Arabidopsis thaliana: one gene and its partner. The protein of the gene in region 1 interacts with the protein of each later gene in a pairwise test. Each region holds a gene or a part of one and is shown in the gene's direction. Other genes may lie near its edges.

Evidence for each region. Proteins that work in one complex are often made in the same cells at the same time.
Region 2: the proteins of PIFI (region 1) and AT1G60080 interact in a two-hybrid assay, tested with the Arabidopsis thaliana proteins (one large-scale study listed by BioGRID).

The regions. Positions count from the first base shown.
Region 1 is NC_003074.8:5,355,148-5,360,169, reverse strand, and holds PIFI (post-illumination chlorophyll fluorescence increase), read left to right. Parts: upstream 1-1,573; 5' UTR 1,574-1,751; coding exon 1,752-1,824; intron 1,825-1,901; exon of another isoform or gene 1,902-1,904; coding exon of another isoform or gene 1,905-1,917; coding exon 1,918-2,026; exon of another isoform or gene 2,027-2,099; coding exon of another isoform or gene 2,100-2,119; coding exon 2,120-2,204; intron 2,205-2,280; coding exon 2,281-2,359; intron 2,360-2,662; coding exon 2,663-2,776; intron 2,777-2,876; coding exon 2,877-2,989; intron 2,990-3,082; coding exon 3,083-3,193; coding exon of another isoform or gene 3,194-3,197; intron 3,198-3,265; coding exon 3,266-3,388; 3' UTR 3,389-3,583; downstream 3,584-5,022. Other genes in the region: FAD5 (fatty acid desaturase 5), read right to left, coding at 100-240, 328-468, 559-1,083; AT3G15830 (phosphatidic acid phosphatase-related / PAP2-like protein), read right to left, coding at 3,843-4,169, 4,498-4,635, 4,771-5,022.
Region 2 is NC_003070.9:22,151,111-22,156,699, reverse strand, and holds AT1G60080 (3'-5'-exoribonuclease family protein), read left to right. Parts: upstream 1-2,056; 5' UTR 2,057-2,254; intron 2,255-2,347; 5' UTR 2,348-2,360; coding exon 2,361-2,520; intron 2,521-2,604; coding exon 2,605-2,654; intron 2,655-2,734; coding exon 2,735-2,804; intron 2,805-2,883; coding exon 2,884-2,989; intron 2,990-3,084; coding exon 3,085-3,151; intron 3,152-3,290; coding exon 3,291-3,366; intron 3,367-3,633; coding exon 3,634-3,941; intron 3,942-4,023; coding exon 4,024-4,095; 3' UTR 4,096-4,470; downstream 4,471-5,589. Other genes in the region: BGLU4 (beta glucosidase 4), read right to left, coding at 1-160, 240-327, 412-483, 561-636, 717-766, 851-914, 990-1,118.

The DNA.
Region 1 (5,022 bases):
TTGTTTTGGCCGAGCTAAAACACATCATAATCCTATCAGCTAGTTATGAAAAATTAACAGTGAATAGATTCAAAATGCAAGACTAGCCACAGAACATACCATTCCCCAAACGATGAATGGAAAGCCACCCATTGCGTATAAAGCAACCGCTAGAGCCAGCGGATGCAAAATGTAGGTGGTTCGAAGGAATCGATAGAATGGCTGCTTCTCCAAGTCCCCAACATTATTAGGCTCTCCACACTTTAAACATCATATACAAAACAGAGTTTTAGAATACAGTTTTCAGAAAAATATTAATATGAAAAAAGAGAAGAAGCAAATCGTTACCCTTTGGGTGATTGTATTGGTATCAAACATCCAATTCATGTGACTGAACCAAAACCCATCAAGTGGGCTATGAGGGTCTCTGTCTGAATCACAAAACTGATGATGGTACCTATGTGTACTCACCCAATCAATTGGGTTTCCCTGAAGAAAACAACACACAAACATCAATCACACAATTTGTGACAAAATTACACATTCAACAAAAACTACATTATCATCAAATCAAATCACCTGAAGAGCTTGAGCTCCACAATAAGCAAACAAGTACTCAAGCCATTTAGGTAGCTTGAAGGCTTTATGAGAAAGATTCCTATGGAAAGACAGAGTAATCCCCAGAAGACCTGTAACGATATAAAGCCCAAAAGCAACCGAAACAGCTCTCCAATTGAATTGAAACGGAGCCAAAAGACTAAGCAAATGCATAGACAAAACGACAGCAACAGCTCCAAAGTCCATAGCTTTCCATTCTCTCTCCCACCAAACTACTTTTTCCTTCTTCTTCACCAACACATCAGATAACATTATCCTTCTGTAATCTCCCTCCGTCGCTGCAGCAGCTGTGGTGACATCTCTCTTCAAACCCTTTTCAGAGAATGCAACAACGAGACTAGGAGGCTTGAAAGGAGCAAGCTTTTGGTGATGGGTGAATGAAATTCTGGTGAAATTCAATGACGGTGTTGCTGTGTTCAAAGTTCTTGGAGATAACGATGGTGAACAGAGGAAAACGGGTTTGGGTTTTGTTAGAAGAGAAGCCATTATCGATGTGATGGCTAAGAGAAAGAAGGAAGAGAAGAGGCTTAAACCCTTAACTTATATACTAGTAGTATAAATATGTTAATATGTGTGCGTGTATAAATAAGGGTCGGTCTTTTTTGTATGCTTCACAATTAGTAGTACTAGTTGTGATGACAGAGACGTGCAAGATCTCATCTTTTTTGTGGTTCACGGGACTACATTGCGGCTAGATTTGGAAAGAGAGGATAAGATGGTTTTAGGGATTTGGATTGCCAATTTGGGGCAGTTATCTAAAACCCGGATCTTCTCTTCAATTTTTCGAGTTGTTTTGCTGAAAAGCCCGTGTTTTTCTTGGAAAGTTAACAAATCACCCCAATATTTGCTTTCAAACAATTGGGCTCATTGATCTCTTGAATGGGCTTATTTTGGTTTTGAGCCCATTCTTTCTTATTCATTAAAGGAAAAATCCCAAGAGTGAAAGGGACATGTTCCATAGACCTTACATTTCAAATTTGATATTTGTCTCTATGATACTTAAGTCTTTGTTTGTATGTGTAAGAAAAAAATTCTATAGTAGATATTTGTATTTGTGGTGTGAAAAATCCTTATCTTGAAGCCATATATCAATTACTTACATATTTTTCTCCTTCTTTCATCCCCAAAAAAGGTTTCTCATTAGATCGGTATCGATGGCTGCTGCCGCTAATACCTCCGCCGTTTTCGCCTCTCCGTCGCAGCCTTTATCCTCGAAACGTAGTTTTTGTAAGTATTTTCACTCAAATTCTTGATTCATTTATGTCAATCTATAATACTAGCTATATAACGAGTTAAAACTAAAGCTAATGAATGATACAGTGTACAGTTCAAGGATTGGTCCAATACTAAGGAGATTTCCGAGGAAGAAACTTGATCTCCAAGTTAAAGCTGTTGCCACGACTCTTGCACCTCTCGAAGAGATCAAAGAGTCTGTCTTTATTTTAGTTCATCGTGTTGCTTTGGTCGATATAACTATATGAATATAATAATAAACATAGTTCATGATTGATTATTTTGATAGATACAAGCTTCCTTCATGGGCCATGTTCGAGATGGGTACTGCTCCTGTGTACTGGAAAACCATGAATGGTCTTCCACCAACCTCAGTAAGTTTCTCTAGCTATTTTCAAGTGTTGAGGCTCTTTAACTCAATTAACTTCTTACAAAACTTTTTTGGATTAGGGTGAAAAGTTGAAACTTTTCTATAATCCAGCTGCAAGCAAACTCACTCTTAACGAAGACTATGGGGTTGCTTTCAACGGTGAGTTTCTCATAAAACATCTAATTAAATTAACTTGTATTCCGAGTTGTCCCAACGAGTTGGCGCGGTTAGGGCGGCTGTTTAATGGGGCTACCACATACTGTATAATTGTTTTCGTACAAGTACTTATAGTTAGCAGTCTAATCGTGGGGTTTAGTCAAGTAATTATTTCTAAGTGTGGCTTGCAAGTGATATATTTTCATTTCCAAATTAAATTAGTAGAAAGCTACATAGACCAGTCTTATGGAGTACTTATAACAACAAAAAAAATGAAAATATTCAATTGGTTACTAAATGGTGCAGGAGGATTTAACCAACCAATCATGTGTGGTGGGGAGCCAAGAGCAATGCTTAAGAAAGATCGAGGCAAAGCCGATTCTCCGATATACACTATGCAGATTTGCATTCCTAAGCATGGTTCGTTTTCTTTTATAATCAAAAATCAAATCATGGTTTGTGACCAAATAGTTATTTGTATTAATTTGACACTTTTATCTTTCCTATGAATCATTATCAGCTGTGAATTTGATATTCTCATTCACTAATGGTGTCGATTGGGACGGTCCATACAGACTTCAGTTTCAAGTCCCCAAGCGATGGCAAAACAAACCTATTGAGTTCTTCAATGAGGTATGTAATGAATTTCTTTTCAAATTTTCACAACTACTTATCATCTATATATGCAATATGCAAAACTTATCATTTATCAATTGGTGCAAAAAGGGTCTAGCGAACGAGTTGAGCCAAGATGGAGCCTGCGAAAGAGCAATATTTCCTGACTCGAACGTTGTTCCAACTCGTTGCACGATGATCGCCAACTTGACGGTCGAAGGAGTAAGTTCTCGCCAAACTATGTCCTATAAAATTTGAATACACTAAATTTTAAAATGTATGAACAAATTTCAGGGAGATAGATGCAACTTGGATCTAGTTCCTGGATGCATGGATACAAATTCAGAACATTTCAACCCATATGCTAATGTTGATGATGGCTCTTGTCCCCTCGAGTTATCCGATTCTGATGAATAGAACTAATTTTTATTTATGTAAATATATATACACATATGTTAATATCAGTATTTGAATACAATAAATGTGTTAGATAAGAGCTTCACAATTAAATTATCTGGGGGTTTTTAGCCACCCAATATTATAAATGTTCACTTGTTGATCTATTTATTAGTTGAACTAACAAATTAATATAAAGACTACTATATTGGAGAACTTTTCAACCAAGAACTTTGCATAAATTAGTTATACGAAGACCTAATATACACATATACCATTTAAAAAACTCAATGAGGCAGCTTCACAATCACGTACACATTTAGTAATTAGGTTCAACGAATGGTATTCAATTAGAACCATTTAATAGAAACTAAATTAAAATCATTAAACTTCAACTAAATGTGTTTCTAAACGTTTTAAGAAGAAATAGATTTAGTGTAATATACAATTATTTTGCCGGAAAAAAAAAATAGATTTAAGTGACTAGAGAGTCTTTTGAAATCAAACTACAACGAGTATTCCGTAAATGTCTCTTGCTCATCTCTTCGTACTTCCCGGCCAATGAGTCAAAGAGAATCCCAGCGCCAACTCCAACCGCAATATCAATCGTGTAGTGTCCTCTCGTACCAAGCAGCCTGATGGATTGCAATACATTGAGAATGTCAAAAACCATCGCCAGCCTAAACCTCTGCATTCTCTTCATGTCCAACGATGCGATCATCGATCCGGCGACGTGACCTGAGTAGAAGAGGAAGAACGACACGTTTCCGACCGGATAATCTACTCCTGATCCTAAAAATTCCTGTAAAAAGGGTTAAATAAGTACCTTAATCGTTCTTTTAAAAAAATATTGAACATATTAATATAGACAAGACGAACATAAACCCATGTTACAACACAAAAGTAAAAGTAAATGAAACAAGATTTATGCTAAAATCAAGGGAGTACAAATTAGCAGCCCTTTGAGAACATTCTTTTTGCATATAAGAAAGAGTCCATATTGTCAAATTATTTGGAGACACTAATATAAACTGCTTTTTTATACGGTAGTTACCAAGGGAATCACATGTCCACGACAAGGTATCGATCAATAAGAAAACAGAGAGAAAGATTTAGATGTGGAATTGAACCTGAGGGCGAGGGAGCTGAGTAGAGTAGCCGAGAATGCCACGACAAGTGAACATGAATAAAGCCGCGATGGTTGCCCGTGGTCGTCCTTCCACTGCCCATGTACATCCAATATACGTTGTTTGCATCCCTACCAAAATCTGTCCACACCCCCAACCAAAACAATTGATTAAAAAAAATGCAAAATTAAGTCGAATTTAACTAGTCTCTCTTTGTTGCATGTGAATATCATAATGCGAGGAATTTGAGGATAGTGTCATAAAAGATGTGTTTACCGTGTTTAAAGCGGCTAAAACGGTGTTAAGATTGGGTGAAGATGCCAAGATGCTATGCAGATAACGTGTGGCCACAAATCCTAGATCAAACGGCTGAGAACTCGCAGGAGTCATCTGGAACGTGTACTCCACAACCGTAAAAAACATAACTCCGGCCGCGAATAAACACGGTATCCAATGGTGTCTCGCCACGTAAATTATGTCATGCATCGTCCACGTCATAAACGACGCTTTGCTTGTCCATTCTCCTCC
Region 2 (5,589 bases), on another chromosome or scaffold:
AGAACAGTTTTTGCTCGGTTTGGAACAACGACCAGGCGGTGTATCCCCATCGTTGTAACCTCCTATAGAGAATATATTAGCCTCGTTGATCGTGGTCCATAGTTTGACATGGTTCCCAAACTCTCTGAAGCAAACATCTGCATAAGTAGTAAAGTCTTTGCTGCAATGGCAAATAACATCAACTTTTGTTATTTTATCTTAAACTACAAAATCTGTAAGAGAAAATAAGTAACGCCTACATCATTCTGTGGTTGAGCCATCCTCCATATTCATCCTCCAGAGACTGAGGATGATCATAGTGGTAGAGTGTAACATGTGGTTCAATTCCTGTAGTAAGTCTACTTAAACTCTAGTTAATACGAACTAAACCTAACTCTTGAGTCCTACCGTGGATATGAAGATAGGTCTTACCGTGGCTTACTAACTCTTGGATGAGGTTCTTGTAGAACTGTAGACCCTTTTGGTTAACAGGCCCTCTTCCATCTAATCAGATAATAAATTACGAACTGATCATAAATTTGATCCCTTCACTGAGCTATAACATGTTTAAGAAAACTTACTAGGTATTAGCCTAGACCAAGAGATGGAGAATCTGAAAGCATCTAAGTTAGTGTCCACCATCAACTTCACATCATCCTGTATAAATTCATAATGAAACTCAGGCTTGATGAATAAAACCTCATGATGTAGTCAGAGAAACAGAGAAGCTAAAGAACCTTGTACTTGTGATACCCATCACATGCTATATCTCCGTTACCTTGGTCACCTGCAATGTTAGAAACAAGAATCAAAGCACAAGAGTGACAAACTCTAATACTAATAATAGTTTGTGTTAAAATGAAAAGCTTACGAGAGTGACAAAGAGTGTCCCACAGGCTAGGTTTCCTTCCGTCTTCTGCAGCAGCTCCTTCCCACTAGTAGAGACCAAACATTTGGTTCAGTTTTGTTCAAAAGTTAAGAAAAAAGAAGCTCATAAATTGGTTCCAAACCTGATAAGCAGAAGTGCCGGCTCCAAAGACGAATCCCTCAGGGTAGTCAGATCTGCTGAAAACGTCGCTGCATTTCCCGGAGAAAGCAAAAGCAAGAAAAATGGCAAACAGAGCCAAAATCTGTTCCATTTCTCACACACACACACACTCTTTTCTTCGTTCCATGTTAGAATAAGTAAGTCCAGTAGCCATTTGCGTACCCGCTAGATATAGTTGTGACGTAGACATTAATGATGATGCAATTTAGATAAGAAACATATTGGGAAGTGTGTTGAAATGAATTATGGTCTTTATTTACTATGATAAGAAACAGATTACGCTGGATCGGAGCCCAGGTCTGACCAACCCAAATAACGAAAGAAACTAGGGGACCGGAAAACCATGCGGCTATGCAGCCCCAGCCCCACATATATGAGGGCTTTTGGGCCAAAAAAATATTTTTGGACTTTTTGTTACATTTCAATTTTTTTTGGGTATTCCTAAATTTTTGTTAATAGTATGGACTATGATATAATAACTTTTGAGGTATTAAAGTAAAAATATTTGGTCCTCTTATAAAGAAAAAAATATTTTATTTCATAAAACTTAATAATTATTACAAAGCATAAAATATTAAACATACATTATCTTAAAATTTTAAAATAGATGTGAAAAAAACGGAATAACGATAAGTTTTTCTGTTGATTGTTGCAAATTTCAATATACGAATACTTATAACGATGTTTTGAATTGAAATTTTCTACGAATACTTATAACGATATATATAGTAAAAGAGAAATTTCTTAACTTATAATTAAACACCATTAAGTAATGTATGGAGGATTAACAAAATTGGATATAAAACAAGAATGTATAATGTTCATTTTGACGCCATTTCTTCTTCTTCATATTTTACAATTTACACTAAACATTTTCCCAAATTCAGCTCATAATCAAGTGCGCCTCATATTTTCGCCAAATTCATCTAATTGAAAACCCAAATTTCAATATACTCATGTCTTGTGAAGCAAACAAATCTCTTATTTCGCATTTCTTTGGGCTTCGCAACATTATTGGGCTTTGTTTGGGGCCCATTTAGAATGAAGAAGTACTTTAGTTAAAAACTCAGATAAACCTAGCCGTCGTCACCGTCACCGTCTCCGTCGAAATCCCCATTACTTACGACACCGCGAGCTCTCAATCTTCTTCTTACACTCTATTGCTTGTGTTTCCTCTTCACTACAACAGTTTCGTGTACCAAAGGCAGTTCTTTCTTTTGTCCCAAGGTAAGCTTTGTGATTCCTTGAGACTGTGTTGATGAAGCACAGACTCAGAGACTTTTGGTTTATGATTCTCTTTATCTTTGTGACATGAAGCAGAGCTAAAGAAAACATGGGAATACCAGATGCAGCTCAAGACTTGTCGACAGAGATGGAAGTTGATGCTTTTAGAAGAATCTTCCCTCTTCGTTTCTTTGAGCGTCATCTCTCTGAATCTCTTCGTCCTGATGGAAGACAACTTGGAAAAGCTAGAGACACCATTGTTAATCTTGGTATAAACAATGAAGATTGATTCTTTTTAGTTTTTATCAAATTAAAAATGTCAACTTTATAGTGGTTTCTTGTGTTTGTTGTAGGACTTGTTTCAACTGCTGATGGGTCTGCTCTTGCTAAGATTGGTTCCACTGTAAGAACCCGCCTTAGTCGTTTCGATAGTATTCACATGATCAGCAATGTTTTGCTTACATAGTTGTTTCGTGTTTATAGACTATGCTTGCTGCTATTAGAATGGAAGTTATGACTCCTTCTACGGACTCTCCAGACGAAGGATGCATAGGTTGTTATCTCGTTGTCTTGTTCTCTATGTGGTTTGTTGTTCTTCTTTGGTGATTCATTTTGTGATTCCTTTTTGGTAGCTATTGAGTTCCATATGCCTCCAATTTGTTCTCCGACTGTTCGTCCTGGAAGACCAGCCGAAGCTGCTCCCGTTATTTCAAAGCGTTTGTCTGATACTATTTTAAGGTGTGTTTTGGTTTGATCTTTCTCTTTATATTTTCTCTGTCTCATTGAGCATCAAATACAATGTTCCTTCTAAAAGTGTTTCTTTTTTGTTCTAGTTCTGGTATGATTGATCTTAAAGAACTGTGTCTAGTTAGTGGAAAAGCTGCTTGGATGGGTTATCTGGTGAGTACTCGTTGGTCTTATATCGGTGCTTGTCCGTCAGTTGATTCACATCTATTCTTCTAGGGATCTTTCTCTTTGATATTTAACTGAGTTCTCTAGCATATATATGAACATTGTTGCTCTCTGAAATTTCTCATAGGACATATATTGCCTGGATGCTGATGGTGCTCTCTTTGATGCTGCTCTGCTTGCTGCTGTCGCAGCCTTCTCCAATCGTAAGTTCTTCTCTGTTCTCATCCTTTAGTTGGTTTCACAGCTCCTTTAGAGAACCTTTGAATAAAGCTGATTCTCAAGTTTATCAAATCCATTTCGAATATGAGTAAAAAGAGCAAGCCTTAGAGAACACTTAAATCTTGCTGAGTGAGTCATACCTGAGTAATATTCTTCCCTGCACAATAGCGGTTTGTTCAGAAGTTGTGTGATTGGTGTTCCGAGACAGAAGAATTTTTCCTCTGATGCATAAAATATCTTTTATATTGCAGTGCAAATTCCAATTGTTGCTCTGAATGACAATGGAAGAATAGTTGCCGTCACTGGAGAAAAAGATCAAGACAATGCTTTGATCACCGAGAAAGAAGCAGTGAACAAGGAGAAGAGAAAACTTACGCTTAAGAACATTCCTTTCTCTTTAACTTGCATACTTCACAAGAACTACATCTTAGCAGATCCAACAACCGAAGAAGAATCGATCATGGACACTCTTGTGACTGTTGTTTTGGATTCCTCGGATCAAATGGTTTCTTTCTACAAATCAGGAGGAGCTGCTCTCGCCTATTCATCAGCCATCAAGGTGAGAGTTTTAGCTTTCTCTTAGGTTAATCCACCACTTGATTTACACCGTTTTTTGTTTCTTATAAAGTTGCTATGCGCAGAGCTGTGTCGAGTTAGCAAGGAAGAGAGCAAAGGAGCTTAAGCAGATATTGGGAGAGATGGATATCGACTAATTTATCAGATGGAACGATTCCATAACATTGTTGAAATTTTGTGTTACATATTTTAATCAGATCACCAAGTTACCCATTTAGAGGCAAAGGAAGAAGCTCTTCACCATTTTTGTTCGATTGTGTTACGGTTTTGTTTGTCATATAACGACTTTAATTTAGTGCTAGTGTAAGTGTGAGATTATATTATCTCCATTTCAAACGAACCGAAATGTGCGTAAGCTGATTAATTTTACAAATGTTCAAATCAAAAGCAATTAACAAGTTTGTTTGTTGACCACCATCGCAAGTTTGTTTTTGATTAGGCTTTTCTGAATTTTTTTATGTTATAATGTAAGGGTATGTTAAAATATTATTCCATTTAAAAGAGGCATTGTAACAAGAACCATTCTGAATCTGTGAAAGAAATATTCCATACTAGACGAGGAAAGTCCTCGAGAGACTAATTAAATACTAAATAACATAAAATCATTCTGAATCTGTGGAAGAATCATATGCTAAGCGAGGAACTTCCTCCAAAGACATGAGACTCTCAGTGTGATTATGATAATAGCGGACCTCTCTTACATTTTTATGATTAAGCTTCCAGAATTCTTCGTCACCAATTCCTTCATATAATCATATTTGACCCTCCTTACTAGGGTTCTTTTTGGATCATAATATAAGACATAAATTGCTTCAGATGTTGTTGCAGCTGTATAAATAAACTCACCAGTGGATCATGAGTAATACCTCTCAGCCCCCAAGAAACTTTCCAGATCGGGTCACGTTGAGGAAATTTTCTAAGTGACCGTTCTTGTTTCTCTTCATCCTCCAAAACCCAAAATCATTTACCAGAGACGTCGTCAGAGCAAACCCATGCAAATTTTCCTTCGTAGTTGAGGAAAAATTTGCAAAGTAAATTATCAGCCGCTGATTTTCTTATTGTGTTGAACTTTTCGTACCTCACATCGAAGCTCATAAGGACTTTCTCAACTTCAGAACTATCATCGACTCCAAAAGGTATACTCGCTTCATAATACACTTCCCCGTTGATACATATACTTTGTATTAGTCCCTCGGCGGATAGAGGGACATGTTTAGGGGTATTTTGTGTCACTCTCCATGATTCTTGAGGTCCCAAAGTAAAAACAAGAGGATCTTGGTATCTAGAGCATGAGATGCACAAGACTTTATACTTACCCTCGACCGGATCATATCCTAAAGAGCTACATTCAAATGCGACTTTTGGTAAGGTAACATGTTGTCTCATGATTGGATTCCAAACTACAATATGCCCCAAGAATCTCCCAAACATATCAAGCCATGGACCGACTGGGACCATTCGTGATAATCAAATATGAGAGTGTCTTTCAGATAACGCTCCACATGTGGATAACATGATCTGTCCGGATTTTCATGTTGGGGCATTGCGCAGAAAATACGCTTGTCACTTGTTTTCACGCAGACCAAAAGACACAACCTAGTTGAAGACTGACTCGCGAACGACCTGATGAA